Ovis aries: one gene and its partners. Each later gene encodes a partner of the first gene's protein in a complex. Links are inferred from orthologs where the notes say so. Each region holds a gene or a part of one and is shown in the gene's direction. Other genes may lie near its edges. The genes, in order: SRRM2, CWC22, SNW1, SF3B2, PPIL2, CWC15 and CRNKL1.

Region 1 (4,195 bases):
GATTGTGTCCCACCTCCTACCCTCCTATCTCTTGGGAAGAATATCATCGAGAATTTGGTTACAGGAAAGGGTCTTACTGAAGGTAATGGGTTTTAAGAAACTATCACCCTTCACCCTCACCTGAGAAATATCAGCTTAAGCCCAGAAAGGACAGGCTTTTCCACTTTGCCATAAATCACTCCAAAGGTGCATCCAACTCCAGGAAGCACTTGCCAGGAGTTCAAGAAGGTAAGATTACATCAGCCCTGGCACCTTTAAGCCAAAGCTACAGCTCCTACACCAAGCAGTAGGTTGCCCCGCTCCAGCATATGAGGTGAGTTATCTTTCCACGATTACAAAGAAAACCTAGTAACATCAGATACAAAGTCAAAGGGGCCACAGTTCATTAAGTGGCTGCTGGTATAAGCTGCCCCCACCCCCACCCCAAACAGAGATAACCCAGACGACTGGCCTGCCTCAAAAACTCAGCTTCTCCCAACTCTGCTCCGAGGGAGACTAGCTGGTCCTCAGGCTGAAGCAAAACGGACTTAAAAACATTAACTTAAGACATTCTGCACAGGGCTGACAAGCTTGGGGCGGGGTGGGGGTGGGGGTTGTAATGTTTTTACCCTGCCACGTATGTAACACGCTTCATGTTCTGCAGGAGAAAACTGCACCTCTGTCTGGCCCCTTACTCGCAGTCATAAAAAAAAAAAAAAATCATTCCTCAGGGGCAGCCAGCCCGGTTCAGCGGATGGAAGCTGCGAACACCACGGTCTGCTGGCTCAGCTCTTGGCTCAGGCCCTGGGCCTGTAGCTGGGCTCTGGGATAACCCGGGTGTCCGCCGCCCAGGGTCCGGGGGGCGGGTACTCCTGGGTCCGGAATGATAGGTGCAGCACAGCCCCCGGGCTCACCCCGGGAGGCGTGCGGTCACTTGGAGGAAGCGGTATTATTGGCCTCGGGCCCATTGCCTCCTAACATGAGGAGACAAAATGGCGGCCTCGTGGGGGCGGGGGAGAGCGAAGCTACCTCCGGGTTCCACGCCACACTAGAACTACAACTCCCAGCATGCTCTGGGCCGAAGGCGGGAGCGATCGAGGGCTAGCGACGCTAGGCCCTGTGTCCTCCTGCTCCCCGTCGGAAACCCCCTGGAATGCGTTGCTTCCTCCGGGCCGCTCCCGAGACCCTCCTCGCAACTGCCTGACGGGAATCGTAGTTCATCGACAACAGAGTTGACTCTCCTTCGGGACTCAAGAAACTACACATCCCGTGCTGATTCGGCGCCTGCGCACAAGGCCGCGGAGCGTACTACGGTTCCCGGCGGGCCTTGCGACGCGCGCGGTTGCGTGCTGACGCGTTTAGTTGGTCGTGCTGACGTGCAACGCGGCCCAGGCGGGGTGCGAGTGGCGCAGTCGGAGCCCGCTGCGGCCCCTGAGGAAGCGAGGAGGCGGCGGTGTCGGCTGAGTCGGGCGGACCGGCGAGGCAGGGCCGCTGCTCCAGGCCCCGAAGGACTCAGGAGCTCGATCTGCGGCAGCACCTCTCCCCCTCGGAGGCGGCGGGTGGAGGCGGCGGCGGGTGAGAGGGTGAGGGAGCGAGCGAGCCGGGTGGGGGAGGGGCGGCGGCCCCGGCGCCAGGCCAAAGCGCGCGGAGAACGGCCCAGGCCGCCGCGCGCACGCGCGCTCGCCGCCCCTAGCTCGCGCGGACGTCCCCGCTCGCCTGCCTCCCCTCCCCCTCTCCCGCGGTTCCTGTCGCGCGCGGGCTTTTATTCCCCCTCCCCCATGGCAACGACGCGCGCCGCCGAGTGCACTTGGGCTCGCGCGCGTTCTCGGCGAGGAGTGGGTAGCGCGCGACTCGGGCTTCTCGTCTCCCAGACGCGTGCGGCGACGAGGCCCTGTTGCAGCTGTCCTTGCCGACATCTTGTTTGCGGGGAGGGGGCTGCGGCGGCGGGGGCCGGCTGTCGGCTCCTTTGCCCCGCGCCTCGCCGGCGTCCGGCCTGTCCGTCCCTCCCCGGGGCTTGGGGTCTGGTCCTGAGCCTCCCAGACTACCGGGCGCCGCGCAGCCCCCTCCCCCATCCCTCAAGGCCGAAAATAGGTCTTGGCGGCTCAGCCTGTGCAAAAAAGGTCTTGAACTAGATATCTCCTCGATTTAGGCAGTTTGGATTCGTTACTGTCTGCCATGAAGTATTAAGCGAAGCATTCAAAACGTTTTTTTTGTTTTTAATTAAGTACTCAGTCTAGGTATGTTAAGGCAGACCACGTGCTCTTTTCTTTTCTTGCACCTTTTCATGGTCTCCAAAGTTGTGTTGAAGCTGGGAAGGCGGCTGCCAGCCCTTTCTTGAGGAGAAAGCGCAGGGTTTTATTATAATTTGACTCAAAACTCTTCCAGACCTCGGTTTTCACGCAAACGCTTATGTAAGATATCTTTTGGGTCAAAAATTTTTAAAGTTGTGTTGTGTTTCCTTTTGAGTGTGTTGAATCTAGGCACTCTCTTACTGAGCTAGTACTTCAGCTTTCTGGGTTCCATAGTCCCTCGTCAGCTACTGTGGTGCCCCAGTGCTGAACTTGATGTGCTTACGTATTAGTTTCATTTTCCTGCACTCTCCGCTCCCTTTTTCCTGCGTTTCTTTCCTTGACTGTCGTAATACTGAATTTTAAGACTCCTTTTGTCTTGTTTAACATGTGATAATTCTCCAACAGAAAAATGCTTTTTATCTTCTTTTGCAGCTTGCTTTTCATCTGCCTTTAGCTTTGGTGACTTTTGCATGCCCGTAGTCCGTGGATCCTAGTTTAAGTGTCTCCATTTGGGTTTTGGTGATTTGTGTATATGTATTATCGATACACTCCTCCTGTCTATCTGTCCTTTGTGAGCATTGTCTTGGATGCCATGGTATTTCTGTTTTTTGTTTGTTTTCTTTGCTGGGTCATTTTCTAAAAGTAGTTTGTTGTGATTGAATACCCTTTGCTTAGCAGCTGCTGGTTATCCTTTTCCAGGGAGTGGGAGGATTATTGTGTGAGGTGGTATGGAAGTGTGGGTGAATGGTTAAACTGAAAAATTAATTGCAGGTCAGAAGCTTTCTGCTAGGGAAGCAGAAACTAGGTAGGGTATAGAGAGCCAGAGAAAATCTAGCTTAAGAGCAAGGAGAAATTTTGAGAAAGTAAACGTGAAGGTTGGAAGATTTCTTGTACTATAAAGAAATTTTTCGTTTCACACAGTTCCACTTGCCTTTCCTAGATTTAGCATCATCCTTTACCCCAATATGGTTATTTTTTTGTTTTGTTTTCAGATCTCTAGAGTCTGCAACTGGGATTGGGTAGGGACCCAGCCTTAGAGTTGGGGGGGAAGGGGTACCAAACTGTTCTAGAGTTGAGCTGTCTTCTTTTCATTCAACATCTACCTGTAAAGGGGGAGGTTGGTACATTTTCCCAGGTGTTTATGTTTCTTCCAGAGTATTTTAAATGGAACTTTTCTTTTTATCCAGTTCTGTGTTTTTTTTCTTCTGCCTTCACTAATATCTCAACTTTGTTCCTTGGGTTCTTTTCCTGGGGTCCTTTTCACTCACACATTTCCTTTGTGAAACTATCTTGGACAGGAGGAGTTGGAGGAAAAAAAAAGTACATAGAGCAGGAGAAAGGAATAGTCTGTGTAGTCAAGAAACCTAATCAGAAAAAAACTAGCATTTGAGGGTTTCTTCAGAGTCATGTGGGGCTGGATGAGAAAAACTAGGCAGTAAGGTAATGAAGGGACTGTTAAAGTCAGCAGTTTGACTTTAATGAAGGTGAGGGAGAAAGAGTGGGGTTTTTGTGACTAAGTGTAGGGAAAGGATGTAGAGAAGGTATGGGGAACAGTTGGACTAGAGGAGACTGCTTTGATACATAGAGAGTTTGAGTTGGAAACGCAATCTTTTCGTAGGAGCTAGGGAGACTTGGGTGAGCCACAAACCATGTGAGAAATCCTATTGGGAAGGAAATTGAAGAAATAACATATCAGTCAGGATAGTTGATATGCCTCTTACCTGAGAGATGATGTATATGAGGATTATGTATCCAGGCTTCATGTGTTTCTGTAGTGCGTGCTGGCCTTTTAGGTTAGGCCTCCTTTTGGATATCAAGGGGTTCTCGAGTCAATTTGTAGTCATAATTTCTGGCTACGTTCAGGGTAGCTAGCCTGAAATGCCTAGGTCAGTTCTTGGAAGACTCTAGACTTGACTGCAGGCCCT
Region 2 (3,730 bases), on another chromosome or scaffold:
CTTTATTAGCAATGCTATCAGCATATTACCATGTTATATTGTTTAAAACCTGGTTAAGTATTAGGTTATTATAAGATGAAGTGTTGGTAGAAGTTGAAAATACATTTTAATATATTGAATTAATGTTGTGTGGCAGAACTCAGAAAAGGTCATTTAGGTTTTTTTGGTCCTATATTAAATTTTGACGAAGTACATCTCTTCAGAACTTAGACATTTATAAACATTTTAATTGAGGCAACTTGTGACTAACCTTTAAAAAAAATAATAATCTAACAGTATAATTACATCTAAAAATAACCTTGTTTTGTGAAGAGAAGCCTTTCATTAGATAGTTTTATAAGTAGATTATCAGCTTCTTGAATAACACTGCCCCATAGAACATTTTGCATTGATGAAAATATTCATATTCTTCCCTTTTTAGTACAGTGGCCACTATACTGGTCACATGTGGCTTCTGAGTACTTAAAATGTGACGTATGACTAAAAAACTAAAATTTGAATTTTACATAATGTTGAATAATCTAAATGTAAATGGCTATGTATTGCTAGGGGCCAGCACACTGGACAGCACAGTTGTAAAGTGTTCTATGCTTCTTCAGGGTCCCCCTTCCTTCTTGCTCATGGATCAGTCAGTTCAGTTCAATTCAGTTGCTCAGACATGTCCAACTCTTTGCGACACCATGGATTGTAGCTTGCCAGGCTTCCCGGTCCATCACCAACTCCCAGAGCTTGCTCAAACTCATGTCCATCAAGTTGGTGATGCCATTCTACCATCTCATCCTCTGTTGTCCCCTTTTCCTCCTGCCTTCAATCTTTCCCAGCATCAGGGTCTTTTCCAAAGAGTCAGTTCTCTGCATCAGGTGGCCAAAGTATTGGAGTTTCAGCTTCAACATCAGTTCTTCCAGTGAACACTCAGGACTGATTTCCGTCAGGACTGACTGGTTGGATCTCCTTGCAGTCCATGGGGCTCTCAAGAGTTTTCTCCAACACCACAGTTCAAAACCATCAGTTCTTTGGTGCTCAGCTTTCTCACATCCATACGTGACTACTGGAAAAACCATAGCTTCGACTAGGTGGACCTTTGTCGGAAAAGTAATGTCTCTGCTTTTTAATATGCTGCCTAGGTTGATCATAGCTTTTCTTCCAAGGAGCAAGTGCCTTTAATTTCATGGCTGCAGTCACCATCTGCAGGGATTTTGGAGCCCAAGAAAATAAAGTCTGTCACTGTTTCCATTGTTTCCCCAACTATTTGCCACGAAGTGATGGGACCAGATGCCATGATCTTAGTTTTCTAAATGTTGAGTTTTAAGCCAACTTTTTCACTCTCGTCTTTCACTTTCATCAAGAGGCTCTTTAGTTCATCGATTTCACCATAAGGGTGGTGCCATCTGGATGTCATCTGGATGGTGTCATCTGGTGGTGCACGTGGAGATTTCCAATAAATGCATATTGACCTAATTTTTTTTTAATATATATAATAATTACCTATTAATAGATTGTATCTCATGTTATCAGAGGACAAAAATGTCAGAATTCCTAATTGAAGATATAAAGGTACAAAATAAAAGTGAACTGAAAGAGTATATAGTATATTTTATAGCGTTGCTTTCTGTTTATAGAACACGAATACATTGCAGTTAATGTATTTTATTAAAAATTACTTTTTAACTTTCTAATAAGAAATGTTTTGTAGAAAAAGATCTTTAGTCAGTTTAGCAGTACTCAGAGTTAGGGTTAGGATTATTCTCTTTTTCATTTTGTCTCCATTGATTTGTCCATATTTCCTGAGTTTCTTGATCTATGAAATTGCTGTAATTGATATATATTTCATTAGGGTTATTTCAGGAATTAAATAATATTTATTCATTATAAGTAATTTGTGATGTTGGTATTTCCCGATCTTGGATTAACTCTTGCATTTCATAGCCCAACAGAATTTTCACAGAGGAGTTTTCAAGACACAAAAATAACTGATTGGACAGTCTGTGGAAAGAACAGTTATGGAATGATTCCATCTATTTATTTAGATTCATCTGTGGACAGATCTATTGAGTAGCATTTATTTTGAGGCTAAAAATCTTGGCCACAAAGGTCTTTTTTGTTGTTGTTCTTTTAGATATATTTTCTTATAAACAAGGCAGTCATTATGTTAGCACTGAAGTTGTGCCTACTTTATGCTCTGTAAAGACTCACCACGTTTTGCCTTTTCCATACTAACAAAATATATTCTTGATAACTCAGTTTAAATGTTGTATTGGTGGTCTGTATTTAAAAGATTTCTGTATAGAATCTTTTAGAATGTGATATATTTAGTTTCTTTTTGTTGATGTATCTGTTTCCTTGATAGTTCTTTGATATTACGTATCATTCTTCCAGAACTTTGAGGCATTCCATAACAGTTTCCCAAAGAGAACAATTAAATGCTGTCTTTTCAAAATTTCACAGCAGGTTTTCTTGAAGTGGCTCATACTTACATGAGTTTAGAATTTTATAAGCAATCTAATTAGCATAAATGACATGGAATTTCTATTAGCCAAACAGAAGACTTTAAAAAACTATAGTCTTGACAGAGATTGAATTTTTTGTTTTGTCTTCATAACTCAACTTCACAAAGTTTTATGTTTTTAAAACCTTATTTAAAAATTCAGGCTATCTTTGTCATATTGATAAATTATCACACAGCATAGATTCATTGTGTTTTGAATCATTAATGTAATTTTTTTCCAAATAGAAAGAACTCTGCAACATGATACTTGATTGCTGTGCCCAACAAAGGACATATGAGAAATTTTTTGGCTTGTTAGCTGGGGTGAGTTCCGACCTCATTTTTCTTGTTGGATTTTGATGAAATCACAAGGGTAATTCTGAACATGAGTATTGTGAATTAATGTGTCTGCTTTGTTGCCTGGTCTAATGTACTAACATATCTTTGCTGAAAAACAAATCATTCTTCCCTTCCACAGTTTCCCTAATCTCTGTAGCTTCCTCCCTTCCCACTTCCTGTTTGTAGTTCTTTGATATTACATATCATTCTTCCAGAACTTTGAGGCATTCCATAACAGTTTCCCAAAGAGAACAATTAAATGCTGTCTTTTCAAACTTTCACAGCAATTTCTGGTCAAGTACATGTTCAGACAACATAAATAAAGCATGAGCTAAATCATTTTTTGAATCCAAACTTAATCCATAGAGAAGTATATTTATTTATCTTATATAAATATGTGTATCTGTGGCTAGCCATGTGTATAACTTTGTTTTAGCATATAAATCCCAGGGGTGGTATAAATTGACTTCTTTTTTAAGCATCCCATTATACAACAAAGAAGAGTGATATGACATACAAACATTTATTAACTTTTGATTGAATAAAATTAGGATTTAATATGGTGTTGACATTTTTATTTTTAATTTATTAGCGATTTTGCATGCTAAAAAAAGAATACATGGAATCCTTTGAAAGTATATTCAAAGAACAATATGATACCATCCATCGCTTGGAAACAAACAAATTGAGAAATGTTGCTAAGATGTTTGCTCACCTTTTATACACTGATTCACTTCCATGGAGCGTAAGTAGATGAGTCAATATTTGTACTTCTTTCCTAATCCCCTGTTATTCTGAAATAAATATTATTAAGTATAACATAGCCATACTCTTCCAATGTAGGCAGTGTGTTTTAAAATGACATGTGGAGCGAACTTCCACTATAATGGCACTCTTTGCACTCTT
Region 3 (3,730 bases), on another chromosome or scaffold:
CTTGAGCTGTCTGTAACACTCCTTGAATTAGGAATAAAGACCATGGGCAGGAGGTCATTATTTAGTAGTCTACTCAAAAGTCTGAAAGAATAAAGCTAAGCGTGGAAGTTACATAAATGTTCAAGCATATTCCTTGAGTTCTTGAAACAGGATGCAGAATTTCAAAACAAAGAATCTTAATTGTCTAGCAAACTTCTATCTTTTTTCTGTTTACTAAAATGTGTAGGGTTCCAAGAATCTGATAAGTCATGAAAGCAGTGCAGCAGATTAAGTTACCTATAGACACTATGATTTTAGTGCTTTCTTCTACCTTTGTATAACTGTTACATTTACTTGATGAGCAACTCTTTAGCTATTTGGTAGTGATTTCCTTTTATTATAACCCAAAATTTAACATGAGAATGTTTTCCCAGAGCTTGCACTCTGAAATGCTAGTTCTTCTGCTTATTAACTGTATGACCTAGGCTTTCTACCTCAGTGTCTTCGTCTGTGAAATGGAAATAATAATGTTACCATTACCAGCCTTATAGACTTGCTGTGAAGGATAAATGAGGCCATAAATATAAAACGCTTAAACAGTCCTCCACACGAAGCCCTCAGTGTTAGCTGCTACTACTGTTGCTTAATTACGAAAAGAGATGTAAGGAGAAAGAACTTAAAATGATTGTCAAAATGGACATATATAAATCTAGTTTTAAAGACTCCATTGTTGCTCTTTGGTGACCAGTGTTTTCTGCCTGCCTTTGTCCTAGGGTTATACAATTCCATTAGATAAACGTCTGGCTGCCGATGGAAGAGGACTGCAAACAGTTCACATCAATGAAAATTTTGCAAAACTGGCCGAAGCCCTCTACATTGCTGATCGAAAGGTTGGTCTGTTGTAATTAAGTTGTTTGATGCTCTTGATAATTTGTAAATCTGTTCAAAATTACCTAAGATACTGTTATTTGGGTTACATTGCTGAGTACCCAGAGAGGCTCTCACCTGTGGTATGTGTTCCAGAGATGACATGTGCTGGTGGCAGTTCTGACCCAGTCTTGGCCTTTGTAGACTCATATACATACCCCACCACTGGTGATTCATCTTTCCCACAACATTCTAGAATAACGGTGCTTCACTAGACTGATCCCAATTTTGGGAAGGTTGGCACCTACTCTTCCTGGGTTTCATAATTTTTCCCTATTTCTCTTTGTCTTCCAAAAGATCAGTGGCATAGAAGGGAAAATAAACATACCGATGTATTGAATGCTACAGAAAATGGCATTCATAGTATTGGCTGTCTGTTAATATTATGGTATTAATATGTGTCTTTTAAGTTTACATGCATCAGGGTATGGGCATAGAATATACAAGAGTATATCTTCTGTGTCACAGTGAGCACCCTTATGTAAATTATTTCTTGCTCATCTATACTAAGGCTATATCTTGAGTTGATCTGATTGATTTTGAAAACATTACCACTTCCTATTATTGATATTGAAAATTGCTTTATTGCTTAATTTTATTTTTTAGATTGTTTCTAAAATGAAACAGTGAAAAAGCATTAGTGAAACACTGACTTACAAGATTGATTGGAGTCAGAGTGAAAAAGCTGTTTGCAATGTCGTCTAGGCGAGTTATCTTTTGTAGACAAGAATCTGTGTTTTAATTAGCAGTAACAAATGTGAATTCTTCTAACTGTTCTTTCAAGCCAGAGTTTAGTCAGGAAATTAAATGACAGCTATAATTCTTTATCCCTGATAGTATCTTATTTAACATCTAACTTCACTTACAGGCTCGTGAAGCGGTGGAAATGCGTGCTCAAGTAGAGAGAAAGATGGCGCAAAAAGAAAAGGAAAAACATGAAGAGAAACTTAGAGAAATGGCCCAGAAAGCCAGAGAGAGAAGAGCTGGGATCAAAACCCATGTGGAAAAAGGTATAACATACTCGTTGTTTAGTTGCTAAGTCATGTCCAACTCTTTGTGATCCCATGCACAGTAGCCCACCAGGCTCCTCTGTCCATGGTATTTCCCAGGCAAGAATACTGGAGTGGGGTGCCATTTCCTACAGGGATCTTCCCGCCCCAGGGATCAAACCTGCATTGGCAGGTGATTCTTTACCATCTGGGAAGTCACCGGGGAAGCCCTGACATACTTGTTACTAAATTGAATTTACTTTGTGAATAATACTTATCTCAATTTAGAAAATCTCAGCTGTTTTTTTTGCTGCATGCAGAAGTAGTACATACATGTAAAGAAAATGTAGATATTTCAGAAATAATGTAGAAATGAAACAGTAATTTCTGCCTCATTAAGTGGAAGTAATAGAAAAGAATGTGTATTTAAATGTGGGCGTTTAATATGGGACTACACCAGAAATTTTTAAAATTCTGAGCAAAATACTTTTAAAAATCACATATTATTCAAATGATAGGCTTAATTTTCTCTTACTTTTCTGGAAACTTAGAGAAAAGAGCTTTCAAACTGAACAATTCAGCTCCCCCAATGGTAAACTTAATCCACAGTTGTTCTTTTAGGCCTTTAATCATTTTCTCTCTTGCTTTATTTAGTGATCTACATAAATATTGTGGTATATGTGCTATATTAATTCCGTTAGAGTGAGAAGACTAATTCTAGTTCAAGAAAATTATGAGGGTGGTTTCAGTAATAATTCCTCATCTAGTATACTTACTCATTCAGTTCATGTTGAGCACCTACTAGGGGCAAGGATTTAATCTAGACACAGAGTTTTCTGCTAGTCGGGTAGAGGATATAGCAGTGAACATTTTAGGGAGTGTAGACAGACAAAAAAGTGTTAATCATATAGTGTATTAGAAGATAACAGTCACTATGAGGGCAAAAAAGAGGAAGAGTATGTAAAAGTGCCAGAAGGAGGGAGTGGTCAGAATAGACCTCACTTCCGAGATGGTAACTTTAACAAAAAAAACACTTGAAGAAAGTAAGGAAGTGAGCCTAAGGGAAGAGCATCCCAGATAGAAGGAGCAGCCAGTGCAGACGCCCTGAGTTGGGAGTGTATCTGCTATGTTCAAGGAAAAGCAGGAGGCCAGAATGGCTGGATTAGACCTAGAAAGCTAAGTAGAGATGAGGTGTCAGAGTAGTTAGGGCAAAGTGGCCAGATCTTGTGTGCCTTTTATAGCTTTTACTTCAAGTAACAAGGGAAGTAATCTGAAGAGTCTGGAGCAGGATGACATGGTCTTGAATATGTTAGAAAGCAATGGAATGGTTATCTGCAGGAGCAGGAACACCGTTGGAAAGCTATTGCAATAATCCAGATAAGAGATAATAGCAGGAGGTAGATAGTGAAAATATGTCAGGTACTGGGTGTGATTTGAAAGTAGAGCTGACAAAATTTGCTTATGGATTCGGCAGAAGGAAAGAAAAGGAGTCAAAGATGACTCCGGAACTTTTGACCTAAACAATTGACAAGGATTGAATTGCTATCTACTAATATTGGTAAGACTACACTGCGGAGAGATTTGGGAAGGAAAAATTAGGAATTTAGTTGTGGACATGTTATGTTTAAAATGGAGGTGTCAAGTAGGCAATTGGTTATAGGAGTCTAGAGTTGAAGGGAAGTAATGAAGGTTCTGGCTAATAACCCACTTCCTTGCATATATATATAAATGTCTTAATGGGGCATGATATAAAAAACCTACTTGTAACCTAGCCACTGATGATAACTCAGAGTAAAACCTCTCTGTGTCTAAGTTCTCTAAACTGATTTAAAAAA
Region 4 (4,340 bases), on another chromosome or scaffold:
ATGCTAGAGAGAAGATCTGAGGGATGCGGGTGTGGAGGGAGGGGAGAGGGAATAGAGACCATTTTGAGTTGCCCCGCTCTCTCATCCAACACACATACATGCACACTGGCTGCGACCTGGCTGTCTGTGAGACAGCAGCACTAGAATGGGAACGGGATCTCAGAGCTGGAGGCAGAGGTGGGAAGATGAACTGAACTGACTGATCAGGACAGGGAGAAGCAGAAGGGGGCAAGCAAGGGCCACCTGCCCATCCCTCCCTCAGGGGCACAGGCCGCTGGTGGGGTAGGAGAGCACCAGACAGGGTCTGCTGCGCCAGTAAGCTGGTGGGGATGAGGGAAGAAAAGGTCCTGAGTTTATTTTCTTTCTTTTTCGGCCTTGCGGTGCGGCTTGTGGGATCTTAGTTACCTGACCGCGGATGGAACCCGGGTTTCCCCAGGGAAAGCACTGAGTTCGACCCACTGGACCACCAGGGAATTCCCCTGCGTTTATTTTCAAGACTAAAAAAGGATCCAAATCTTGTCGCTTAAGACTGCTTTTTTTTTTTTTTTTTCCCCCTTTCAGTAATAATTCATTGAGCACTTCTAACGCCAGGTACTGTGAGACCGTAAAAACTCATGTCTTGGGAGTTGTAAGTGCAGAAAAGGGCAAGAAAGATTTCAAAACAAATGGTAGAGGTTTGGCCGCTCCAGAGCAGGAAAGGCGGGAGACAGTTTAACGTAGATGACATTTGAGACGGCCAGGAAGGTGGAAAAAGGGGCTTTAGTGTGGCCCTTCCCCCAGGTCGGCAGCTGGATCTCAGCCCGGAGGGCCGGCTTCGTTCCCGTCTCCGATCTCCTTTCAGCCCATTCATCCATGCCTGGGCCGGGGATGGGCGGGCAGACAATCAGACACTGTTTTATCACAGGCATCGGCGGCAAACTCCCGCTTGGCGCCCACAGCGCGCGACCGCCGGGGGAACGAGTCCCTGGAGAACGTGAGCGTCCAGGCCTCTCAAGTCCAACCAGGGAGTAGCGCCGCAAGGCGGGAGGTCTGCGCTGAGGCCAGTGAGATGCAGAAAGCACGCCCTTCGGGCAGGACCTGCTTTCCCCACAGCCCCGCCCCGGCTCTGGCCTCCAGAGTTCCCCGCGTCGCGGCCGGCCGCGATCCTCCCGGATTTGAATCCGCAGAGATCGTGACCTGTGCACTACAACTCCCAGAAGGCTTCGCGACCAGGCGGCCTAAGGAGCATTGGAGAACGGTAGGGGGTGGGCCCTGATGGGAACTGCCTGGCAACCCTCGAGCGGACGTGGCGTATCGCCCTACCGGAAGTTCCGGGAAGTGGGTCCGGAGGCTGGTCCGAGCTTCCGGGTTGGTCGCGCGCCTTCCTGCGGCTAAGATGGCGGCCGAGCATCCGGAGCCTCCTAAGGGAGAGTTGCAGCTGCCGCCGCCGCCGCCTCCTGGACACTATGGTGCCTGGGCTGCCCAGGAGCTTCAGGCCAAATTAGCAGAGATCGGAGCTCCCATCCAGGGTGAGGAGCATGGGAAGTCAAGGGCAGGAAAGTGCAGGCCTGCGGGGAAGCGGAGCTGGTTACCCCGGAGACCCGGGGGCGGGGGTTAGAGGCTGGCCGCGGTGGCCTGACTTGGGCAGGCTGGCCTGCTCGACCTGACCTACCCCGTTGATCCTGTGCTTTGCTTAGCAGGGAGTCGCGAGGAGCTTGTGGAGCGATTGCAGGCTTACACTCGCCAAGTAAGTGTTGGTGGCGGGACATGAGGATAGGCCGAGCGTTTGCAGGAGGCATTAATGACCCGTTACAACTCGGTCTTCGTTGTTTACGAATCTCGGTACAGCAAGTGGGGTCTTGGCTGCTTCGTATCTGCTGTGTTATAATTGCTTTTGTATATATCGTTTCTTCCCAGAGCCCATTCCGAGCTCTGGCAGACAGTCACTGGGTAAATTTTGTTGAATAGACGAGAGCGAACGCTGTTTCATGCACCAGCTCCTTTTAGACTGCCCTAGATTCTTTTCACTTTCACAGACTGGCATCGTCCTGAATCGTCCCGTTCTGAGAGGTGAAGATGGGGACAAAGCTGCTCCTCCTCCTATGTCAGCACAGGTAAGAAGACTGTCTCACTTGATAAGATTCTTTTCTACTCAGAGTAGCTCCTCCTCTGAGCGTACAGGGGGATACACGTAGCCCACTGGGCAGGGAGGTACACTGATGAAAGAACTGGGAACTCTTCAGTTCTTCCTTCGTCCAGATTCTTACTTCCTTTCTCAGTGTCAGTTCCTCCAAATTTCATGTGTCATTTAAGATTCAGCTTAAATATCTGGAAACCTGACATAATCCTTCCCCAGCTGGAAGTAATCACTCTCTTCTCTGCCCTCCCTGTGCAGAGTTCCCATGTTATTCAATGAGAAATTAGGGCTTACTCTCTGATTTAATTTCATACCTTCTATATTTAATCAGTCATTGGGGCACACTGGGTCTTATTTATTTAAATACTCTCAATTTCCATGTCTTTTCTGATCCAGGATTTGATAGTTTTTCTGTAGAGCAGTGGCCCTGACTTGGGGTCCAGGGACTTCTATGTGTGGCATAAGAAGGTTTTTATTTTTTGAGGGGTTGAGGAGTTTTTCAGAAGGCCTTTAGAGGTGTCCGTGAGTCTCCTGAAATTGTATGTGAAGTCTGTGTTCATGATGTTCTTCTGGGACAGAGTTGACAGCTTTCATCAGTTGGTGGCACAAAGTTAAAATGCTCTTCTTTCGATACTGCCGTAGAGTATTCTTTCTTTTTTCCTTTATGTCTTTGGCTGCTCTGGGTCTTCATTGCTGTGTGCAGGCCCTTTCCAGTTGAAGCGAGCACAGGACTACTGTCTAGTTGTGTTGTGCGGCCATCCCATCGCAGTGGCCTCTGGTTGCGGAGCACGGGCTCCAGGGTATACGGGTTTCAGCAGCTGCAGCACACGCGGCACATGGGCTTAGTTGCCCCGCAGCACGTGGAATCTTCCTAGAGCAGGGCTCGAACCCATGTGCCTTGCGTTGAGCGGATTCTTAAACATTGGACCTTCAGGGAAGCCCTGCATTTTCTTGAATGCAAGAATTGTGCATCATTTGACTTTGAATCCCAGTGCCAGCCTTATATTAGTTCCCCAGCAAATGCCTGCCATTACATAAATGCTTCATAGTTAATGGCCTTTTTTTCCCCCCACAGCTCTCGGGGATTCCCATGCCGCCCCCACCCATGGGTCTCCCTCCTCTACAACCCCCTCCACCACCCCCACCACCCCCACCTGGCCTTGGCCTTGGCTTTCCTATGGCAGTTGGACCCCGCCCGCCAAACTTGGGGCCTCCTCCTCCTCTCCGGGTGGGTGAGCCCGTGGCGCTGTCTGAGGAAGAGCGGCTGAAGCTGGCGCAGCAGCAGGCGGCATTGCTGATGCAGCAGGAGGAGCGTGCCAAGCAGGTAGGGCAGGTGGCAGCCTGAGCCTGGGTCTCACCAGGGTCCTGAAAAGGGAGTAGGGCCTCCAGGGGAGCCGGATCCTGGGGCCAAGGCTTCTGGGAAGGTCTGGACCCAAGTCTTCAGGGCCTCGGCTGGAAGAGCAGACCAGGAAGCAGAGCTGTGGTAGACTGGCCGGTGGGGTGTGGGTACTGGAATGAGCTCGTTTTCTTTCTTAAGCAGGGAGATCATTCACTGAAGGAACATGAGCTTTTGGAGCAGCAGAAGCGGGTAATGCCTCCCTCTTCCTAACCTTTGACCTCCATGGTCTAATCCATCGTCTGTCACTTCTAGTGCTTACTGTCTAAAATTAGCCGTGCCATTCAGGTTTCCCATGGAGATTACCTCATCCTCATCTAAATTCCATTATCTCCCAAATAATTCTTTCTTTCACATAGCCAAGGAATTGGTAATCTGTGGACTATAGCCTGTTTTTGTATGGCCTGTGATGTAAGGATGGTTTTTATATATTTGAAGGGTTGTTTCGGGGAGATGGGGGAAAGGAATTTACAACAGTCTACAAACAACCCAGAAAGCCTAAAATATTTACTGACTGGCCCATTACAGAAGAAATTTCCTGACCCCTACTGGGCTTTCCCAATGGCTCAGTGGGTAAAGAGTCTGCCTGCAGGAGACAGGAGATGTGGGTTTAATCCCTGGGTTGGGAAGATCCCCTGGAGAAGGAAATGGCAACCCACTCCAGTATTCTTGCTTGAAAAATCCCATGGACCAGAGGAGCCTGGCAGGCTATAGCCCATGGAGACATGACTGAGCAACTAAGCACTCAGGCATGCACGATCCCTACTAGTCTTACGTGATATCATTTTAGGTACACTGGAGAGGATTCTGGGCTAATTTAGTCATTTG
Region 5 (4,293 bases), on another chromosome or scaffold:
GTCGGTTTCCAACTTGGTGCCTCCCTAAAGAGTTTCAGAGACACGTGACTCTGATCGCCTTGCATGCTGACCTTAAAGTCGACCTGCATGTGAGATGTGAGTCCTCACAAAGTGTCCGATGATGCTGGCCGGTAGAGCAGATGTTGCTTGAGCTCTTGGGTATGCCCTGCACCTTGCTTGGGGCTTCCCAGGTGGCAAAGAACCTGCCTGTCCATGCAGGAGACGCAAGGGACACCGGTTTCATCCCTGGATTGGGAAGATGCCCTGGAGGAGGGCATGGCAACCCACTCCAGTATTCTTGCCTGGAGAGCCCACAGACAGGAGCCTGGCGGGCTGCAGTCCAGAAGGGTGGAAGAGAGTCAGTCGCAACTGAAGGGACAGCACGCAGCTCGCAGGCACTTTGCTTGTGACTGGAGATAGCAGACGAGCAGTTGGGGTCCTGGCTCTTGGGGAAGCCATGTCTCCCTGAAGAGAGAGAGAGGGTGTGTGTGTGTGCGTGCGTGCGTGCGTGCATGTGTGGCTAGACAGTACACAGATGGATTAGTACAGGATTACAAGTGGTAACAAGCCCTTGTAGCTGTATGGGGTGACTGGCTGGATAGTGGTACTCTGAGGAGAGTGGACCCTAGAGGGGGAGGAGGAGAATTCTGCTTTAGCAGACATACTGAATTCGAGTTCACTGGGTTGCCCGAGTAGAGGGCAGGAGTCTTGAGTGCTGGCCATTTAGCGTTGGGAGTCAAGCGATACAGGCGTTTAAAGCCGCGAGCCCGGGCAAGGTCACCCAGTGCTTGAGTGTAGGGGGAGGTCTGAGGCTTGGCCTGGGGCACCCCAACGTGGTGGTCCGGCCGAGGGAAGAGGCCGAAGGGATCACGAAGGCTTTGGACCTTTGGGCTTGATGGCCACCTGCCCCTGGGTAGCCCAGGAGAGGGGGCTGCAGGCAGTGCGGTCCCGGTGAGCGGTGAGAGGGCGGATAGCGAATGTGGGTGTCCATCTGGAGGTGCCGGCCTGGGGCAGAGATGGGGCCAAGGCCGGGGGAACTTCCGGGCTCCAAGCGGAAGACCTGAGAAGCCAGGGCAGACCAGGGCGGGTTTGGGATGGGATGGCGTTGAGCTGCGACCAGGCAGGCAGGCTAGGTAGGCGGTGCACAGAAAGCTGCAGAGACGGGGAGGCTTCGACGCCGAAACTGCTCAGCCCCCGGGCGCGGGGAGCCCCCGGGCGCGGGGAGCCCCCGGGCGCGGGGAGCCCCCGGGCGCGGGGAGCCCCCGGGCGCGGGGAGCCCCCGGGCGCGGGGAGCCCCCGGGCGCGGGGAGCCCCCGGGCGCGGGGAGCCTCCGCGCCCGGCGGGCGTGCACTCGGGGTGGGGGCGGGGGCAGCCAGGGACCACAGTTCCCGGCGTGCTCAGCGCTTGCTTCCGGGGCGGTTCGGCGAGACCCGGAAGTAGTTACGGAGTTCGTCCGAGACGCCGCGGTCGGAGGTGTGCTTTTCCCCCGTCTTCTGCGCTCGCTGACCCTGCCGTCGCCATGGGGAAGCGACAGCACCAGAAGGACAAGATGTGAGTTGAGCCGCCACCGCCGGGAGCGGGCCTGTCCGCCCCGCGCCCCGCCCCCGAGCTCCCGAGACGCCGCTTCCCCGGAAGCCTCCGCCGCTCCGCGCGGGTTTCCGGGGCCCCGCGCTCTCCGGCCCGCCGACGCCGCCTCGCCGGAAGCCTCCGCGGGCTCCCCCTCCGGCGCGGGTCTCGGGGGTCCAGTCCCCTCGGCTCCTCAGGCTCGCCAGCTTTTCCCTGGGGGCGTCTCCTCGGGCGCGGTGGTCGTCCCTCGTCCCCCAGTCCGCTCCCGAGCTCCAGCATCTTCCAGTTAAACCCACTTGGGCCCCCGAGCTACCGTCGAATTTCTTTGATTTTCTTAACCGCCAGACGATATTCAGGACCGCTTTCCTTTAGGATGGACTGGTTGGATCTCCTTTCTGTCCGGGGGACTCTCAAGAGTCCTTTCCAAGAGTCTTTTCCGATGGTTTGGTTTTTACATGTGTGGATGTAAAAGTTCGAGTATAAAGAAGGCTGAGCGCCGAAGAATCAATGCTTCTGAACTGTGGTGCTGGAGAAGACTCTTGAGAGTGCCCTGGACTGCAAGGAGATCAGCCCTGGGTGTTCATTGGAAGGACTGATGCTGAAGCTCCAATACTTTGGCCACCTGATGCGAAGGGCTGACTCATTGGAAAAGACCCTGAAAGATTGAAGGCGGGAGGAGAAGGGGACGGCAGAGGATGAGATGGCTGGAGGGCATGGGACCTCCCTCAGTGGACAGTTCAGTTCAGTCGCTCAGTCGTGTCCAACTCTTTGCGACCCCATGAATCGCAGCACGCCAGGCCTCCCTGTCCATCACCATCTCCCGGAGTTCACTCAGACTCACGTCCACCAAGTCAGTGATGCCATCCAGCCATCTCATCCTCGGTCGTCCCCTTCTCCTCCTGCCCTCAATCCCTCCCAGCATCAGAGTCTTTTCCAATGAGTCAACTCTTCACATGAGGTGGCCAAAGTACTGGAGCTTCAGCTTTAGCATCATTCCTTCCAAAGAAATCCCAGGACTGATCTCCTTCAGGATGGACTGGTTGGAAATCCTTGCAGTCCAAGGGACCCTCAAGAGTCTTCTCCAACACCACAGTTCAAAAGCATCAATTCTTCGGCGCTAAGCCTTCTTCACAGTCCAACTCTCACATCCATACATGACCACAGGAAAAACCATAGCCTTGACTAGATGGACCTTAGTCAGCAAAGTAATGTCTCTGCTTTTGAATATACTATCTAGGTTGGTCATAACTTTTCTTCCAAGGAGTAAGCGTCTTTTAATTTCATGCCTGCAGTCACCATCTGCAGTAATTTTGGAGCCCCCAAAAATAAAGTCTGACACTGTTTCCACTGTTTCCCCATCTATTTCCCATGAATTGATGGGACCAGATGCCATGATCTTCGTTTTCTGAATGTTGAGCTTTAAGCCAACTTTTTCACTTTCCTCTTTGACTTTCATCAAGAGGCTTTTTAGTTCCTCTTCACTTTCTGCCATAAGGGTGGTGTCATCTGCATATCTGAGGTTATTGATATCTCTCCCGGCAATGTTGATTCCAGCTTGTGTTTCTTCCAGCCCAGCGTTTCTCATGATGTACTCTGCATGTAAGTTAAATAAGCAGGGTGACAATATACCACCTTGATGTACTCCTTTTCCTATGTGGAACCAGTCTGTTGTTCCATGTCCAGTTCTAACTGTTGCTTCTTGACCTGCATACAGATTTCTCAAGAGGCAGGTCAGGTGGTCTGGTATTCCCATGTCTTTCAGAATTTTCCACAGTTTATTGTGATCCACACAGTCAAAGGCTTTGGCATAGTCAATAAAGCAGAAATGTTTTTCTGGAACTCTGTTGCTTTTTCCATGATCCAGTGGATGTTGGCAATTTAATCTCTGGTTCCTCTGCCTTTTCTAAAACCAGCTTGAACATCAGGGAATTCACGGTTCATGTATTGCTGAAGCCTGGCTTGGAGAATTTTGAGCATTACTTTACTAGCATGTGAGATGAGTGCAATTGTGCGGTAGTTTAAGCATTCTTTGTCATTGCCTTTCTTTGGAATTGGAATAAAAACTGACCACTGCTGAGTTTTCCCAATTTGCTGGTATATTGAGTGCAGCACTTTCACAGCATCATCTTTCAGGATTTGAAACAGCTCCACTGGACTTCCATCACCTCCACTAGCTTTGTTCGTAATGATGCTTTCTAAGGCCCACTTGACTTCACATTCCAGGGTGTCTGGGAGTCGGTGATAGACAGGGAGGCCTGGCATGCTGCGATCCATGGGGTCACAGGGTCAGAGGCGGCTGAGCTGAGCTGTCTGAATGGCGAGATGAGGACGATCCCCTGTGGTTTTCTGCCTTCCCCTTGACCCCGCTTCAGTCAGCGTCTGCCCGCGTTGCTCCTGTCGGGATCCCTCAACTCCGGGGGCGGCTCCATCCGGGGGTCAGCTCTCTGTCCTCGCTTCCTGGGGCGTGCCGGACCACCGCTCTCCCTCTGAAGCCCTTCCTCGGTGTCTGGGACACCACTCTCTGTTTTCGGGTTTCTTCAGAGACGGTGCTCTCTGGGTTCCCTCTCCTGGGTCCTCTCCTCCCCAGACCTCCTAGGTCTCCTCCCGCCGCTTCCTCTATTTCACACTCTCCTCGGGTGATGGCCCCAGCCTGGCTTACAACACCACCCCTGGAAGATCTGACGGGCTTGTGGAGTTCAGTGAGGGAGCCCCGCTGTGGAAGGGACT
Region 6 (3,213 bases), on another chromosome or scaffold:
CCCACAAGTCCCTAAAATGTTACAAGAAATGCAGGATTTGATTCAGTGAGTTAACTATTGTTTGTTTTCTGCCAGAACATACAACCTCCTCTTCAGTGTCAAAGAAGCCTCGGTTGGACCAGATTCCTGCTGCCAACCTTGATGCAGACGATCCACTAACAGATGTATGTTTACTTCTTCCTCTTACCTCCATGTAGTAATTTACTTACCATTTTTCTGAAATACTTTTTTATTCTTTTAGCTTTAAGAAGCAGTTTGTATTTGTATTTACGTACTGTTATTCAGTTACAGCTCTGACTTGAGTGCTAAACTTTATAGTCTATTTTAAAACAAAGAAAGCATTATCTTGTTAATCACATTTCAAGTTTGATCTCTGGAGAGCCAGAAAGGTGTGCTTCCCTAAAAAATAATTCCTGGTATTAAACCATGGAAATTGGATAGCTCTGCCTCTTCAGACTGGGCTCTTCATCGATAGCATCCCCTCCAGTGAACGTAGGGACCTTTCTGTATTCTCAACCAGTGATGCCCCTTCCACATGTTCAGTGGGCATAATTGCTCCCTCTGTGTTTAGAGAGACATGTGATCTAAGTGGAAGGCTTTTAAGGATTGGCACTTTCATTAACATTCAAATTTAGGTCCTACCAGGTTTGCAGTTTTCTATGTACAGGGAAAAGTCTTCAAGGGTAGCGTCTAATTAAGCATATATGTTAGTAATTCTAGAATTGATAGACTAATTTAAAAATTAGCATAGTAATTCATACAAGGAACTCAGTTTTAAGTTACATTTAATGATTATTCATTTGAAATTATTTTACTCTGAGAATTTAACACCCTTTTTTGTACTTTCAATTATCCTTATTTCCTAGTTGTTTTGAGCAATATAAAACTATTTTGACCCTCAAAGAATGTAGTTAGTGTGTATCACTGTAAAATGTTCTTTTTCTAGTTTTACAAATATTTTCATATATAAATTCTTACTTGTTCATGTAAATTTGAAAGATACTATTTGCTGCTATAATGTTTAAAAAACATTTTAAAATACATTTTAGTAAGTAGTCATAAGCTACTTGTGAGGTTTTATTTTACTTTTTGTTTGGTTGCTGATTCTAATTGTATTTAGCTACATCTGTCTTTCCCAGGGAAATTTCCTGCTCCAAAGATTCGATAAGTGCCATTTTTATGGAAAACATACGACTTATGCCTTATGTCTAACCTCACCTTTCTTTTTTAGGAGGAGGATGAAGATGAAGATTTTGAAGAGGAGAGTGATGATGACGATACTGCAGCTCTTCTTGCAGAGCTGGAAAAAATCAAAAAAGAAAGAGCTGAAGAGCAGGCCAGGAAGGTAAAACCAACATATTAAATGTTTTTACGTCTTCTCACATAAACTACAGTAGAAATGTTTTTAAGTAGTAGCACCTTATATGAGGAATCATCCTTGCCAGGTCTAGATACTACAGCACCTGTAGGTCCATAAATCTGGTAAATTCAGTGACAGCCTAAGTCTCCTAGTTACGTTAAAAATTCTTTTGAAATGGTTCAAACATGCTTTAGGCCTAATCATTAAGTTATTCTTCACTCATTTATTTGTTCAACAGACATTTAGTCAATGTCTGTCAAGTGTCAGGAGAATCAAAGATGACTAGATGTAGTCATTACCTAGGAAGAACCCACAGATAGAATGAAGCCATCTTTACCTCTGTCCTTGTCTTCTGCCCCAGCCTTCTTTCCAGGTACTTGCTGAGGCTGTCAGTAAATTTTATGTAACCTAGCTTTTCTGAGTCCCCACAGTCTCTCCATTTGGAAGGAAAGAGTGTCTAACTCAGAGACAGATAAATTAAATAGGATCCATGGTCCTGTGTACCTTTATTACATAATTACCCATAGTAGTAACAATAAGAGAGAAAACTTAGGAAGCAAGAGTGAGTGAGTGCACTGACCATTTCTAGACCAATGCTAAAGGAGTTTGAACTCTGTTCCAAAGGATATGCAGAATTAGTCGATTTCAGCAGGAGATGGTAAGGTTGGGGGTGCATTTTAGAAAGATTACTCTGGCCAAAGTGTGGAGGATGCAAGGAAGAACTGGTTAGAGGGCTGTTTCAATAATCCTCATATCCTGTGACGAGACTCTTGCATGCTAGGAGTTGAATTTGAGAGACGTTAACTATCAGGGAGATAAAATTGACCAAAGAAGAGTGACCGATTAGCTATAACAGTTCCTGGGTCTGTGTGAGTGCCATGCACTAATTCAGGGAACACAGAGGATGGGCATGCTTCAGTGGAGAGAAAAGAAATGATGAGTTATGTTTGGAACATGTTGAATTTGGCACACTGTGGGACCCTCAAGTAGATCTATCTGCCTCCACTTTCAACCAGAATAGAGGAAATTTTTTTTTATTAAGTGGGCTTCTGAGTAAGATTTTATTTGAACCAAGAATTGTTCTGTTTAAAAAAAGGAAAAAGACTGATGTAGGTTAATGCTTGGAACTTAGGGAGGTAGAATTCATGTGGGTCAGAACGGCCAGGGAAGAATTGAGAAAAGAAGTAGAATTGGGGATAGGCTTTGAAGACAGCTAGAATTCAGATTGGAAGAATAAAAACATTAAAGATACAATTCGCGTCAAAATTTGGTAGGGGATAGCAAAACTCCAGTAGAAGTGTCGGACCATTCCTACATCTGCACACCACAAGAGGGCAGTTATTCTATTCCAGATTCTTTTGGCCTTCCTAACAGCTGTGGATACAGAAAGAGACAATTAAATGCATTTGGAGCATAAACATTTCAGACAGAAATTCTTGGCAATTTTGTAACATGCATCTGATTTCTTTGTACAAACGTGTTGGTGTTTTTTGGAGTCACATGACAGTTTTGTACCTATTTCCCTGTCTTGCTTTCTAGTGGCTGACTTTTCCCTGTCTCGCTTTCTAGTGGCACCTCTAGTGGCTGAGGTGTTTCAAAACATTTCAGACCAGTCAGCCTATGTTAGGGGCTGGGAAACTTTCTATAAGGGACTGCTGCTGCTACTGCTAAGGAGCTTCAGTCGTGTCTGATTCTGTGCAACCCCGTAGACGGCAGCCCCCCAGGCTACCCTGTCCCTGGGATTCTCCAGGCAAGAACACTGGAGTGGGTTGCCGTTTCCTTCTCCAGTGCATGAAACTGAAAAGTGAAAGTGAAGTCGCTCAGTCGTGTCCAACTCTTCACGACCCCATGGA
Region 7 (4,359 bases), on another chromosome or scaffold:
GAGGAGAGTGAAAAAGCTGGCTTGAATCTCAACATTAAAAAAACATGGCATCCAGTCCCATCACTTCGTGGCAAATAGAAGGGGAAAACATGGAAGCAGTGACAGATATTTTTTCCCCTCGGGCTCCAAAATCACTGCAGGATGATAACTGCAGCCATGAAATTAAAAGATTCTTGCTCCTTGAAAGGAAAGCTATGACAAACCTAGACAATATATTAAAAAGCAGAGATATCACTTTGCCACAAATGTCTGTATGGTCAGAGCTATGGTTTTCTCCATAGTCATGCACAGATTTGAGAGCTGGACCATAAGGAAGGCTGATCACCATAGAATTTATACTTTCTAGTTGTGGTGCTGGACAAGCCTCTTGAGAGTCACTTGAACTGCATGGAGATCAAACCAGTCAGTCCTAAAGGAAATCAACCCTGAGTGTTCATTGGAAGGAATGAAGCTGAAGCTCCAATACTTTGGCCACTATATTCAGAGAGCCAAGTCAGTGGAAAAGACCTGATGCTGGGAAAGACTGAAGGCAAAAGGAAAAGGAGGTGGTAGAGGGTGAGATGGTTAGATGCAATCACTGACTCAACGGACATAAATTTCAGCAAATTACAGGAGATAGTGGAGGATAGAGAAGCCTGGTGTGCTACAGTCCATGAGGTCGCAAAGAGTGGGACCTGAATTCGCGACTCAATAACAACAAAAGTTAAGCGAACTGGCGCTACGAAAATTGACATTAAGACACAATGACAGAAAATTTTAAATATCTGTTTATCTGATATTATTTAAGATTGATATATTACATTGCTTATCTGACATTATAAGGCTGGGTTATTTGCTAGTACTCCGATGATTTATTTTCACTTTTTTCTGTTATCTGGCTTTAAAATTCCTTCAGTCACTTTCATTTATAAGCCATAGAATTATTTGGTCACAACTGTCCGGAAACCAAGGGGCAGTTGACCATTCGGGCCTACAAAGCCCAGAATGCACCCCAGCTCAGGGCGGCCGAGGAGGTCAGCAGCTTGCCGCTAGGTATGCCAGGAGGTAGTTTTCTACCCCACCCCCGCCCTCGAGCGTCCGCACGGTAGCCGGGTTCCTGTCCCCTTGCGGGATACCGCGATTTCACGGATCCACCCGTCCTCGCACGGTCATCCTAATCCCAGAGGCGATCTGAGGATGTGCCCCTGACGGCCCGGATGCAGCCAGCACTCCTCACCTCACCTGCAACTCCCGAGTCCCAGGCTCCGAAGAGGACGCGCAGCCCGGTTACCACAGAAACGACGTTGACTCCGTCACGGCGCGGGAAAGAGGTCAAAGGTCGCCCCAGCCAGTTCCGCTTCCGGTTCCGGGATCCCGCTTGTTGTCGGAAAGTTGCGCGGTGTGGGCGAGCCCTCGGGGAAGGTTCTGTGGTCCCGGGCTCGCCCGCGGTCGCCGCTGCAGCCATGGCGGCTTCCACCGCTGCCGGGAAGCAAAGGATCCCCAAAGTGGCCAAGGTGAGCGGCTCGGGGCCTTGTGGGAGGAGGCCGGGGATGGGGTTGGCCCGGCCTTGGTGGTGCCTGGGGCGGGAGGCGTGTGGTCCCTGGGGCGGGAGGCGTGTGGTCCCGGGAGCTGGTCCTCCCTACCTGAGCGGGGGCCGCGGGCGGGGAGGGCCAGCCGGGGATGGGGGTCACCTCCGCGTCCGCGTGGTCGTCGTGTTAAAAAGTGTTTATCTGGGGGAGGAGAGAGGTTCTTCAGCACAGACACGCTGAAACAGACACTCGCTAGTCGCTGGGGCTCCGGGTAGAGCGGGCTACGAGCTACCCTGCGTAAGGGTAGAACTGCAGCCTTGCAAAGGCTCCTGAGCCCCAGAGGAATAGGCCGTGGCTTCCTGGGCTCGTGTGAGGGGTCTCCAGCGCAAGAAGTGATGATTAAGCTGTGCTGAAGGCTGTAATAGGAGTCAACCCCGGGTGAGAGTGGAAGGAGTGAAAAGAGATGACAAGGGCTGTATTTTGGTTGATCTCACTTTTTCCGTCGGCGGTTAATACTAAAGTTCAGTTCAGTTCAGTTCAGTCACTCAGTTGTGTCCGACTCTTTGCGACCCCATGAATCGCAGCACGCCAGGCCTCCCTGTCCATCACCAACTCCCGGAGTTCACTCAGACTCACGTCCATCGAGTCCGTGATGCCATCCAGACATCTCATCCTCTGTCGTCCCCTTCTCCTCCTGCCCCCAATCCCTCCCAGCATCAGAGTCTTTTCCAATAAGTCAACTCTTCGCATGAGGTGGCCAAAGTACTGCAGTTTCAGCTTGAGCATCATTCCTTCCAAAGAAATCCCAGGGCTGATCTCCTTCAGAATGGACTGGCTGGATCTTCTTGCAGTCCAAGGGACTCTCAGGAATCTTCTCCAACACCACAGTTCAAAAGCATCAATTCTTCACAGTCCAACTCTCACATCCATACATGACCACAGGAAAAACCATAGCCTTGACTAATGGACCTTAGTCGGCAAAGAATGTCTCTGCTTTTGAATATGCTATCTAGATTGGTCATAACTTTTCTTCCAAGGAGTAAGCGTCTTTTAATTTCATGGCTGCAGTCACCATCTGCAGTGATTTTGGAGCCCCCCAAAATAAAGTCTGACACTGTTTCCACTGTTTCCCATCTATTTCCCATGAAGTGATGGGACCAGATGCCATGAACTTCGTTTTCTGAATGTTGAGCTTTAGGCCAACTTTTTCCTTTCCACTTTCACTTTCATCAAGAGGCTTTTTAGTTCCTCTTCACTTTCTGCCATAAGGTTGGTGTCATCTGCATATCTGAGGTTATTGATATTTCTCCCAGCAATCTTGATTCCAGCTTGTGTTTCTTCCAGCCCAGCATTTCTCATGATGTACTCTGCATATACGTTAAATAAGCAGGGTAACAATATACAGCCTTGACGTACTCCTTTTCCTATTTGGAACCAGTCTGTTGTTCCATGTCCAGTTCTAACTGCTGCTTCCTGACCTGCATACAGATTTCTCAAGAGGCAGGTCAGGTGGTCTGTATTCCCATCTCTTTCAGGATTTTCCACAGTTTATTGTGATCCACACAGTCAAAGGCTTTGGCATAGTCAATAAAGCAGAAATAGATGTTTTTCTGGAACTCTCTTGCTTTTTTGATGATCCAGCGGATGTTGGCAATTTGATCTCTGGTTCCTCTGCCTTTTCTAAAAACAGCTTGAACATCAGAAAGTTCACAGTTCATGTATTGCTGAAGCCTGGCTTGGAGAATTTTGAGCATTACTTTGCTAGCGTGTGAGATGAGTGCAATTGTGCGGTAGTTTGAGCAGTCTTTGGCATTGTCTTTCTTTGGGACTGGAATGAAAACTGACCTTTTCCAGTCCTGTGGCCACTGCTGAGTTTTCCAAATTTGCTGGCATATTGAGTGCAGCACTTTCACAGCATCATTTTTCAGGATTTGAAACAGCTCAACTGGAATTCCATCACCTCCACTAGCTTTGTGCGTAGCGATGCTTTCTAAGGCCCACTTTGACTTCACATTCCAGAATTTCTGGCTCTAGGTGAGTGATCACATCATCGTGATTATCTGGGTCATGAAGATCTTTTTTGTACAGTTCTTCTGTGTATTGTTGCCACCTCTTCTTAATATCTTCTGCTTCTGTTAGGTCCATACCATTTCTGTCCTTTATCGAGCCCATCTTTGCATGAAATGTTCCCTTGGTATCTCTAATTTTCTTGAAGAGATCTCTAGTCTTTCCCATTCTGTTCTTTTCCTCTATTTCTTTGCATTGATCGCTGAAGAAGGCTTTCTTATCTCTTCTTGCTATTCTCTGGAACTCTGCATTCAGATGCTTATATCTTTCCTTTTCTCCTTTGCTTTTCGCCTCTCTTTCTTTTCACAGCTATTTGTAAGGCCTCCCCAGACAGCCATTTTGTTTTTTTGCATTTCTTTTCCATGGGGATGGTCTTGATCCCTGTCTCCTGTCACGAACTTCATTCCATAGTTCATCAGGCACTCTATGTATCAGATCTAGTCCTTTAAATCTATTTCTCACTTCCACTGTATAATCATAAGAGATTTGATTTAGGTCATACCTGAATGGTCTAGCGGTTTTCCCTACTTTCTTCAATTTGAGTCCAAATTTGGCAATAAGGAGTTCATGATCTGAGCCACAGTCAGCTCCTGGTCTTGTTTTTGTTGACTGTATAGAGCTTCTCCATCTTTGGCTGCAAAGAATATAATCAATCTGATTTCGGTGTTGACCATCTGGTGATGTCCATGTGTAGATTCTTGTCTTGTGTTGTTGGAAGAGGGTGTTTGCTATGACCAATGCATTTTCTTGGCAAAACTCGATTAGTCTTTGCCCTGCTTCATTC

What was found.
Region 2: SRRM2 (region 1) and CWC22 share a complex: the UniProt entries of both Homo sapiens proteins name them as parts of the minor spliceosome. The link is inferred for Ovis aries from reciprocal best matches to the Homo sapiens genes SRRM2 and CWC22.
Region 3: SRRM2 (region 1) and SNW1 share a complex: the UniProt entries of both Homo sapiens proteins name them as parts of the minor spliceosome. The link is inferred for Ovis aries from reciprocal best matches to the Homo sapiens genes SRRM2 and SNW1.
Region 4: SRRM2 (region 1) and SF3B2 share a complex: the UniProt entries of both Homo sapiens proteins name them as parts of the minor spliceosome. The link is inferred for Ovis aries from reciprocal best matches to the Homo sapiens genes SRRM2 and SF3B2.
Region 5: SRRM2 (region 1) and PPIL2 share a complex: the UniProt entries of both Homo sapiens proteins name them as parts of the minor spliceosome. The link is inferred for Ovis aries from reciprocal best matches to the Homo sapiens genes SRRM2 and PPIL2.
Region 6: SRRM2 (region 1) and CWC15 share a complex: the UniProt entries of both Homo sapiens proteins name them as parts of the minor spliceosome. The link is inferred for Ovis aries from reciprocal best matches to the Homo sapiens genes SRRM2 and CWC15.
Region 7: SRRM2 (region 1) and CRNKL1 share a complex: the UniProt entries of both Homo sapiens proteins name them as parts of the minor spliceosome. The link is inferred for Ovis aries from reciprocal best matches to the Homo sapiens genes SRRM2 and CRNKL1.

The regions. Positions count from the first base shown.
Region 1 is NC_056077.1:2,806,468-2,810,662, reverse strand, and holds the start of SRRM2 (serine/arginine repetitive matrix protein 2), read left to right. Parts: upstream 1-1,347; 5' UTR 1,348-1,554; exon of another isoform or gene 1,555-1,562; intron 1,563-1,909; exon of another isoform or gene 1,910-2,390; intron 2,391-4,195. UniProt on the Homo sapiens protein: Required for pre-mRNA splicing as component of the spliceosome. As a component of the minor spliceosome, involved in the splicing of U12-type introns in pre-mRNAs.
Region 2 is NC_056055.1:130,111,788-130,115,517, forward strand, and holds part of CWC22 (pre-mRNA-splicing factor CWC22 homolog), read left to right. Parts: intron 1-2,731; coding exon 2,732-2,809; intron 2,810-3,416; coding exon 3,417-3,569; intron 3,570-3,730. UniProt on the Homo sapiens protein: Required for pre-mRNA splicing as component of the spliceosome. As a component of the minor spliceosome, involved in the splicing of U12-type introns in pre-mRNAs. Promotes exon-junction complex (EJC) assembly.
Region 3 is NC_056060.1:87,012,732-87,016,461, reverse strand, and holds part of SNW1 (SNW domain-containing protein 1), read left to right. Parts: intron 1-752; coding exon 753-869; intron 870-1,774; coding exon 1,775-1,916; intron 1,917-3,730. UniProt on the Homo sapiens protein: Involved in pre-mRNA splicing as component of the spliceosome. As a component of the minor spliceosome, involved in the splicing of U12-type introns in pre-mRNAs.
Region 4 is NC_056074.1:40,571,806-40,576,145, forward strand, and holds the start of SF3B2 (splicing factor 3B subunit 2), read left to right. Parts: upstream 1-1,350; 5' UTR 1,351-1,375; coding exon 1,376-1,508; intron 1,509-1,676; coding exon 1,677-1,726; intron 1,727-2,015; coding exon 2,016-2,093; intron 2,094-3,191; coding exon 3,192-3,440; intron 3,441-3,653; coding exon 3,654-3,704; intron 3,705-4,340. UniProt on the Homo sapiens protein: Component of the 17S U2 SnRNP complex of the spliceosome, a large ribonucleoprotein complex that removes introns from transcribed pre-mRNAs.
Region 5 is NC_056070.1:72,135,947-72,140,239, reverse strand, and holds the start of PPIL2 (RING-type E3 ubiquitin-protein ligase PPIL2), read left to right. Parts: upstream 1-1,435; 5' UTR 1,436-1,519; coding exon 1,520-1,551; intron 1,552-4,293. UniProt on the Homo sapiens protein: Has a ubiquitin-protein ligase activity acting as an E3 ubiquitin protein ligase or as an ubiquitin-ubiquitin ligase promoting elongation of ubiquitin chains on substrates.
Region 6 is NC_056068.1:15,096,526-15,099,738, forward strand, and holds part of CWC15 (spliceosome-associated protein CWC15 homolog), read left to right. Parts: intron 1-75; coding exon 76-164; intron 165-1,231; coding exon 1,232-1,345; intron 1,346-3,213. UniProt on the Homo sapiens protein: Involved in pre-mRNA splicing as component of the spliceosome. Component of the PRP19-CDC5L complex that forms an integral part of the spliceosome and is required for activating pre-mRNA splicing.
Region 7 is NC_056066.1:39,181,958-39,186,316, reverse strand, and holds the start of CRNKL1 (crooked neck-like protein 1), read left to right. Parts: upstream 1-1,341; 5' UTR 1,342-1,442; coding exon 1,443-1,493; intron 1,494-4,359. UniProt on the Homo sapiens protein: Involved in pre-mRNA splicing process. As a component of the minor spliceosome, involved in the splicing of U12-type introns in pre-mRNAs.